Linked DNA regions of Macaca fascicularis. Each later gene encodes a partner of the first gene's protein in a complex. Links are inferred from orthologs where the notes say so. Each region holds a gene or a part of one and is shown in the gene's direction. Other genes may lie near its edges.

The links.
Region 2: the proteins of ZDHHC9 (region 1) and GOLGA7 are in contact, whole or in part, in a cryo-EM structure (PDB 8HF3), measured with the Homo sapiens proteins. The link is inferred for Macaca fascicularis from reciprocal best matches to the Homo sapiens genes ZDHHC9 and GOLGA7. Residues at the interface, in NP_001008223.1 of Homo sapiens: Phe78, Ala81, Arg85, Ile94, Pro95, Leu98, Asp100, Glu101, Phe104, Ile105, Phe129, Gln130, Ile131, Asn132, Ile146, Pro149, Pro150, Arg182, Tyr183, Leu186, Tyr274, Lys281, Cys284, Glu285, Leu287, Cys288, Gly289, Pro290, Leu291, Pro292; in NP_001002296.1 of Homo sapiens: Lys11, Phe13, Gln15, Tyr18, Ser19, Ser20, Gly21, Thr22, Ala57, Glu58, Leu60, Ser64, Tyr65, Gly68, Cys72, Ala75, Tyr76, Thr77, Phe79, Leu80, Tyr86, Glu87, Leu90, Ile116, Arg118, Gly119, Arg121, Val122.

What each region holds. Positions count from the first base shown.
Region 1 is NC_088395.1:136,113,099-136,117,444, reverse strand, and holds the start of ZDHHC9 (palmitoyltransferase ZDHHC9), read left to right. Parts: upstream 1-1,511; 5' UTR 1,512-1,597; coding exon 1,598-1,764; intron 1,765-4,346. UniProt on the Homo sapiens protein: Palmitoyltransferase that catalyzes the addition of palmitate onto various protein substrates, such as ADRB2, GSDMD, HRAS, NRAS and CGAS. The ZDHHC9-GOLGA7 complex is a palmitoyltransferase specific for HRAS and NRAS.
Region 2 is NC_088382.1:44,991,164-44,995,749, forward strand, and holds the start of GOLGA7 (golgin subfamily A member 7), read left to right. Parts: upstream 1-1,643; 5' UTR 1,644-1,700; intron 1,701-1,712; exon of another isoform or gene 1,713-1,965; 5' UTR 1,966-1,987; coding exon 1,988-2,098; intron 2,099-4,586. UniProt on the Homo sapiens protein: May be involved in protein transport from Golgi to cell surface. The ZDHHC9-GOLGA7 complex is a palmitoyltransferase specific for HRAS and NRAS.

The sequences.
Region 1 (4,346 bases):
TGTACGAGCGTGTGGCTGCGTGTGCGTGTGGATGTGGCGCGCGTCCCAACCTGCCTGGGGCGGTGGTCCGCGGCGTGGCAGAGGCAGGGCGGGCCTCGCGAGGCCGCGCGCGCGGCCCGGCCCCGATCTCCGCTCTCTGGCCTCCGGCCCCCCGCTGGGGAGCCGGTCGCTGCTTCCCGACGGATTTTGATCTTTGTTCTTCCAGGCCGGCTCCCCGTTCGTGGTCTCCCTTCTCCCGCTGGGCCGGTTTATCGGGAGGAGATTATCTTCCAGGTTAGTTTTACACAAAGGACGGGTTCTCTGCACCTCTGGGCCCCCTTCCCCTTCCCCGAGCCTTCTACCTTCTCATTTCCCTGCTCCGCTCCTAGGCTGTTTTTGGACGTTTGCCCTCTCCAGCCCGGGAATGATCTCGAGTTGGCTGTTTCTCCCTCTGTCCGTCGGGCTGCAGGCTTCCGCCTCAGTCCTGCCAGCGTGGGGCATGTGGTGTCGGTAAATAGAGGCCACAGCACCACACCTGAGCGGAGGAGAAGGGTGGCAGAGGCTGAGAAAGGCTGGGCCTGGGAATTCAGGATGCTGAGTAGAGATGGTACTTAGGACATGTCCCAGAAAGCGCCCTTGTGACTTTTCTTAGCTGCTGCCATTCCCCACCCCCCAACCAGCCATCAGCAGTCACCAACCATTCCAGAATCTCTCCTGCTTAAGTCAGCCTTTCACCTACAGGTCTCTGATGTGGTTTCATTATGATTCCCACAAATGTTAGGCTAGACCAGCCAGATTGTTTCATTTCCCGGACTCAGGAAGTTGCAGAGGGTTTGATGAGGGGAAATCTGTTTTGTGTAAATACAATGCACGTATGTGCACAGAGCGTCCAGAACCTCCCGGCCCTGCCAGAGGGTGACTTGTTCCCTGCTGTGATTCATACTCGAGTGGCTAATTGAAGAAAGAAGGTGAAGTGGAGGAAGGGAGGGAGGCTTTATAAGGACAGAAACTCTACTATTATTTTTAGAGTCCTTTTAATGATGTTGAAAGAACATTGTGGCATAGTGGAACATGCCCTTGACTTGAAGTTAGCAGTATCAGCATTGCTGCTGTGTGGCCCTGGATAAGTTATTTCCTCTCTCTGGTCCTCATTTTACTCATTTACAAAACAAAGTATTAATAATTGGCACGATCACCTATAAAATCCTCTCTAGTTCCAAGGTTCTGTGATGATCAGATCACCAGCATTAGATTGGAAGCATAGAGGCTTATTTAAGAGGAAATACTAGCCCTTTTCCTTATTTGAGAACCTTTAATCATATCTTCTTGTAGAGAACAAACACGAATTGGAAATAAACTTTTCCCCACTTCCCCGTCCCCACCCCTTCAGTCAGTTTTCAACTTTCTGTCTCTGGGAAAGGAGGGTTGAACTGTATTTTTTTTATTCTTGCCTCATTTTTTTTCTTTTTCTGCTTTTTCTTAGGGCTGGCAATTGGACTTTTGATGATGTTTGACCCAGCGGCAGGAATAGCAGGCAACGCGATTTCAAAGCTGGGCTCAGCCTCTGTGTCTTCTCTTGTGTAATCGCAAAACCCATTTTGGAGCAGGAATTCCAATCATGTCTGTGATGGTGGTGAGAAAGAAGGTGACACGGAAATGGGAGAAACTCCCAGGCAGGAACACCTTTTGCTGTGATGGCCGGGTCATGATGGCCCGGCAAAAGGGCATTTTCTACCTGACCCTTTTCCTCATCCTGGGGACATGTACACTCTTCTTCGCCTTTGAGTGAGTTTTGGTTGAGTAGAGTTGCCTGATTATGGTTACTTTGGGTCTAGGGGGAGAACCCGCTTTCTGGGGAGTTTGGGGCTGGTCCTTGGATGACTTTAACATCCTCTTGAGCAATGTCTGTAGATGATGCCAGCTGAATTCATTGCTTCATGGTCATCACAGAGTATGTGCTTCCCCAAAAGACCAATACCTTTGATACCAATTTTGTAGTACTGGTTTGGGGCTATCCTTGATAGACTTGGGAAATAAGGAAGTTTGTCTTAATTACTCACCTCTCCCTTTTAGTGGTCTCCTTAGAAGCTGAATGACAGATGGCCTCCCCTGCACACAAACCTAAGGGCACCCCTCATTGTTACATCACTCAGCAATCCTCACCTATTTTGTTATTCTGGGCCCTGTTTCCTTAAGGCTCAGCTCTCAGCTAGCTGTTACGGTGAAAAGCCGACTGAATTGGGAACCTACGGATTAGTTCCAGCCTCAGCTGGACCACATACTAGTTGTGTGCGTGGCACATACGTGCTTATTAGAAGTGAGTTGCTCTTTCTTTCCCTCAAAATCACTGAATGTAAACAACTCTATATTCTGTGTATGCCTGGTACCAGCCTTGGAGTGATTTTTTTCTGTGGTGTAATACCTTGTACTCGAGCCACTGTTTGAAGTCTGTGTAGGTCTCGTCTCTAGGGGAGGTGGCCGGTTGGATTCTAGGGCACTGTGGCGTGTCTCCTGGGTGTGCTGAGAATGCTCTACACTCTAGGGATGGGAGCAGTGCTAATTGTTTTGGGATTACTGTGAGGAGGCCTTTGAGAGCCAAGAGGTGTGTGTGTGGACTGTAAGCCACACCTGACGTGAGCCTGCTATGGTGTATGTACATGGGTGACCTGGAAATGGAGGCCTCATGCTGGGGTGTGGCCATGGGAGATAGGAGGGGGCACCTTGGCCAGCCTAGTGGGGAAGTAAAGTGAGCTCTGGTCCCTTGGGGCTCATTTTTTTGTCCTTCTGTGAGGGCTTCAGGCTTTCCCAATGCACCCAGAGTGATTTTCGGGCTGCTTTGCCAGACTTTTGGATGGTTGCAGCTGGCTTGAGTAACAGCAGGGGGAGGAGGGGGACCCAGTATATAACGGGGCTGGGAAAGTAAGGTCAGAGGAACTCTTTGTTAAAGGTCTTTTTGCTGCTGCTGCCGCTACTGCTGACTTTGTGAAGTGTTTAGCGAAGTCAGGCAGGTTGCTGAAGGCTTCTTACTTGCTTTCCAGTTTGAGTTTCCTGACTGAGGGTGTGTGCGTGCATGTGTGCATGCACGTGCTTGTGTGTGGTACCAGTGAGCATGTGTAGTCAGGCAGGCATAAGTTCCTAGTATTAAAAATCGTTTTTCCTTCCCCTCACCCTTCTCTCCAAGTTTTCCTTGCCTCATTCCTGCCCTGCTTCTTCTTGGAAGTGAATAGCTGACCTCTGTTCTTTATCATTCTTACTCCCTTTTTCTCTTTGTGTCCCCACCCCCACCCCCATGGTTAAATTTTTATTATTGCAACCATTCCAAACAGAGATGAGCCTTGTTCCCAGGCTTTGAGTTAGTTGGTAGTTCTGGGCCCAGGAAACCTCTGGTTTGACTGGCCAGGGGTACTTGAAATTTGGAGCTATTGCCATTTGTCCCCTTTTGTATCTGGGAGCCAGCAGAAGAATCTTATTGGAATCTGTTCCACTGAGGCCCCTGCAGGCCTCTGAAGAAAACCGCTGGTGGGATGAAGCTTCTAATTAGCCATGTTGCTGTTTGACAGAGCCAGGTTGAGTTTTCCACCATGATGACTTCCCCCTCCCCCCAGGTTGTTTCTTGCATTTTGAAGGGTGAGGTTATTTGTAAAACTTCCTTGAGTACCAGCTGTGTGTGTGAAAGACTAAATATTTTTGAAGATAGGGCTGGAGGAGGGAGTAGTGGGAAGAAGAGGGGAGAAGGAAGTAAATGTGTTAGCAGAGGAGTAGAGTGGGGAGGTGGAAATGTGACCAAAGAGGAGAGGACCCTGGTGATGAATACTTTGTACTGAGAATGGCGGAATTTGTGTTTGTGAATGTGCGTGCTTGTGTATGTGTGTGTGTCTGTCATATATAAACACATAGACACTTTAGGTGGTGGCTGCGTTGTGCCTAGCCAGTGACAGGTGGTACAAGGTACACCAGCATGCCTCTGAGGAATGAAGTCTCCTTCTGGTGGGCCTTTTTCTTTGGCGTCTATAAATTCCTGTCCACCACATAGTGGGGGCACGGTTTGGGGAGCAGAATGTGGGCTGCTTTGTTAGTATTAGAACTTAGCGCAGTGGCTCATGCCTGTAATCCCAGCACTTGGGGAGGCCGAGGCAGGCAGATCACTTGAGGTCAGGAGTTTGAGACCAGCCTGGCCAAATGGTGAAACCCCCATCTCTACTAAAAATACAAAAATTAGCCCCGTGTGGATGTTGTGCGCCTGTAGTCCCAGCTACTCAGAAGGCTGAGGCAGGAGGATCCCTTGAACCTGGGAGGTGGAGGCTGCAGTGAGCGGAGATCTTAGCCTGGGTGACAGAGGGAGACTCTGTCTCAAAAAAAAAAAAAAA
Region 2 (4,586 bases), on another chromosome or scaffold:
GCAAAAGTTTTGAATAGACACTTCACCAGAGAAGAAACATGAATGGCAAATAAGTACAGGAAAATATGCTCAAAATCATTAGTCATGGAAAAACGAAAATTATGACTGCAGGAGATATCACTACACAAGTGTTGGCAAAGATGTGGAGCAACTGGAACTCTGGTGGGAATATAAAATGGTGACACCGCTTTGGAAAACAGTTTGTCAGTTTGCCAAAAAGTTAAACGTGTTTTCACCGTACAATCTAGCCATTCTAATCCTAGGTACGTACCCAAGAGAAATGAAAGCATTAAGGTCTACACATCTATACAAACCCTTGTAAATAAACATCCATAGCAGCTTTATTTGTAACATACCAAAACTGGAAGCAACCCAAAATGTCCATCAACAGAAGAATGGATAAACAAACTGTGGGATGGCCATAGAATTGAATAGCTATCCAGCATCAAAAAGAAATGAATTATTGATAACACAACAACAGATGGACTTCGAAATAGTCTATGTGAAAGAAGCCAGGCAAAAAAGGGGGTACACACTATATGATTCAATTTATATAAATTTCAAGGAAATGAAACTAATGTATAGTGACAGAAGGTGGATCAGTGCCTGGGAAATGGGGTCTGGGGAGAGGCAGGAGGGAGGAATTACACAGGAGCTGGAGGAACCTTTTCAGGGCAATGGAGCTTTACTATCTTGATTGTGACAATGGTTTATGGGTGTATTCATATGTCCAAAGTTATCAAATCCACTGCTTTAAATATGTGTGGTTTATTGTATGCCATTTATATCTCGAAAAAGCTGTTTTTAAAACACAATGGGAGAATTTTTCATATTTAAAAGGCAGGATATTTAAACTGTATTAAATATATAAGACATGGTACTGAAAGGTTGTATTAGCAGGAGACAAGGTAAGGTGGGGTTTCTTTGGCTGCCTTGCAAAGAGATGCTGAGTAAAGTAGGGGCCAGTGGGCAACGAGGGCAGAACTGCTTGTCTGTCCCCTTGGGTCACCTGAGGGGCATGGGTGGCGGCTGGGTGGAAATGAGGGTGAGAGGAAAGCCGCCGTCGAGGGGCGTGGATGGGAGCTGGGTGGAAACGTGGGGTGAGAGGAAAGCCGCCCCCAAAGAAGGGTCGGGAAGGGGCGGGGACGGCCAACGCTGGGGCCCACGCAGGTTCTTCGTCCTCACTTCCTGACCCTTTCTTACGAGTCTAGGGACCAAACGGATCCATCCCCAGAGCCCTTCTACTTCTGAACACGATGAGCAGTTTATGTTTGAGGGTTTGGGGATGGGGTGTTGTTTTTTCTTTATGTTTTGTTTTTCGTTTTACGTATGAGTTGGGTGGCACAACCCACACGTAAGTTGCAACGTCCAATCAAGAACGAAAATAACCCCTCACAATCAGCGATCGGGAACCAGCTGCCACAAGTGACACAGCCAGGAAACTTCGTCCCTCACACCCCCGCGCGCTCGCGCCTGCCGCAGCCCCACAGCTCGCCCCGCCTCTCTCCTTCCGGAAACAATCTCCGAGGGCGGAAGGCGGGGTCGGCCCTGGCCCCGCCCACAGCGTTTCCCTTCCTCGGCCCAGCCCCGCAGCGCGCAGCCTCGGCAGGGTGGCTTTACGGCCAGAGGAGAGGGTGGGTCCCAGACTTGAGGTAGGAGGCCGAGCTGAGGGGCGGGGAAGAGGCTTTTTGCGGCAGGACGTAAGTGACGGCGAAGGCGGTGCGACAGCAGCTGGAGGGCAGAGGAGGCGGGTTTGTTTCCCGGGCCGAACCGGGTTGTTGGGGGGCGCGGGGCCTGGGCCAGGCGGCAGCTAAGGCCCGCGGTGACAGCATGGGTGAAGGGGAGCGGGGCAGAGGAGGCCTTGGGCTGTTTTGGGCGGCGAGTGGGGGCGAGGGACTGGCGGGTCGGAGTCCCGGGTCCAGGCCGGGGCTCTGACCCGCGGTTGGTGTTCCCCCGACCCCGCAGCGCGGGGTGTCCAGTCCTCGCCATGAGGCCGCAGCAGGCGCCGGTGTCCGGAAAGGTGTTCATTCAGCGAGACTACAGCAGTGGCACACGCTGCCAGTTCCAGACCAAGTTCCCTGCGGAGCTGGAGAACCGGGTACGCAACCTGGCTCCCCACGCCTGCTCTGGCGAGGGAGAGAGACTCACCGGGGACGGGAGGGGTGTGGGCGACAACCGGGCCGTTGAGGATCCAGCAGTTCTGGGGAGGGCCAGGCACAGAAGGGGCCTTGGCCAAAGGTGTAAGAAGAGAGCCACTAAGCAAGACAGGTGTTTGGAGGAGCAAGAATAATATACGCCGATCGCCGGGGTTGACGACCTTATGGAACTTTGTTGCCCGGTGCCGGGAATCTGGATCCAGCAGTCTTCCCCTGCTGCACTCCCTCAAATCCCCACCCCGGGTAATTGTCGGCAGCGTTGAGGAGCCAATTCCTGAGGCTCCAGGCCACCTCAGCCACCAGGTTTTAAGCTATATCTTCCTACCTCTCCGCGCAAGATAAATCATCATCATTCTCATAACTGGTGTTTGCTGCCTCTGTGCTGGCCGCACTGTTTGACTGAAAGGGTTTATTAGGTGCATTGCCAGGCGGTGCATTTAGGCTTTCTTGGAACCTTAAAGACGTAGAGCGTTAGATAGGCCTGGACAGGAAAATATCTCAGAACAAGGCCTTAAACTTATCACATTCACTGGGAGCCACGTGTTTTGTCTTGCATATCAAAATTGCCATCAGGATGTAGGTCCTTTGGGTAACATTGCATGCAAAAATGTAAGAATGGAATTTGCTTCTCCTTCAGACTTAGCAAACGTTTTTTTAAAAAACCATTGTATCTTGTAGAGGTAATGGAGTATGTGCGTGCCTGCCTGTGTTTTTGTGTGCCCACATATGTACACTCAACCAAAGATTCTTTTGGTCTTGACCCATGTCATGTAGATTGTGTTTCCTGTTCAGGGATCAATTTCTGGTTAGCTGGAAGCAGGTTTTGTGGCTCCCTCCTCTGTGACAGGGAGGGCGAGGGCCTGAGAGGTGATTAGGCATTCGTTGGGTGTGGAACTGAGGGATGCTGGTCATGGGATAAGTAGGTGTGGATGAGTCTGTGTAGAGAAATGTGTAGCAGTTATTTACAGACAGTTTACAGTGAGGTGGGTTGCACTGCCTGATTGCCATGGTTGGGAAATCAACAATGATCCATTATAGTTTCCTTCAGTTTGACATAACCATGGGCAGGTTAGTGGCCCAAATATGTTTCTTGAATTGCAAATTGATCAAATATGCCTTTAAAAGATGGTGAGGTGACTTGTTTCTGAAATGCCATTTAAATGCTGCAGTATCTTGTCAACTATGTTATGAGTTAACTCAGCGTGACAGTAGGTGGAACTATCTACAGTGGTTAGAAGAGCTAGAAATTCAGCAAGTGGCCAGTTGGTTAGAGCTACTGAATGTTGTTTTAAAATAATTTAACATCACAGCTGATGTGTTTTACATGTTAAGATTTACATGGAATCAGGCTGGGCGCGGTGGCTCACGCCTGTAATCCCAGCACTCTGGGAGGCCGTGGCGGGTGCATCACTTGAGGTGGGGAATTCAAGACCAGCTTGGCCAACATGGTGAAACCCAATCTCTACTAAAAATACAAAAATTAGTCAGGTGTGGTGGCGGGCACCTGTAATCCCAGCTACTCAGGAGGCTGAAGTCGAAGAATTTCTGGAACCTGGGAGGCGGAGGTTGTAGTGAGCCGAGATCATGCCATTGTACTCCAGCCTGGGCGACAGAGCAAGACTCTGTCTCAAAAAATAAATAAAATAAAAAGATTTACATGGAATCAATCAAATGTTTTATTTTTAAGCCTCTCATGGAGATTATGACATACAATTTTATGTACTTCAAAATCAGAATATAAAGTATTCTTTTTTTACCGCCATTATTTGGACATTAAAGATTCATTTGCTTTAAGGTTTTAAAGCAACACTTACACCTCATATTTGAGCAAATGTGTGTACGCAGAATCAGACATTAGCCTTCCACTCTGTGTGTGGCAGAGCCTTTATTTTGTAACCTAAGTACAAAAGCACAATGTAGTTACAGTGCTCCACTGATTCTTCTCAGGAAATTGATGTTTCTAAATTCTGGAGTCCTTTTACCTCTTTGACTCTGTGTAGCCCAGAACTGCCTGTGGTACTGAGTACTATATGGAATGTTACATGGCACTATTCAATTGTGCCTGTGAATTTCTTTTTTCTTTTTAAATGTTTGGGTTAAAACACTAGCTTATGCTTTAAACCACTAGAAAAGCTTTGATTGTGTGTGTATGGGTCTGTGTGTGTGTGTGTGTGTGTTGAGATTAAATTTAAATTACAGGTTTAAACTTTCCTTGCTTTGATGAAAAATTGAAAGGTTTCTGTTTCTCTACTACTTACCCTAGAAATTTTACTGATTGCTCTGCTGTTGGAGCTGATTTTCTTTTTGTGAGAACATCACACTTGGCAACGTAATAGAGAAAGAGACTAATATGCAAGTGTTCTGTGTTATTTTAAAGCATTTTTTAAAAAATACATACACATTTGTGCCCTTTAATTTGGGAGTAGGATA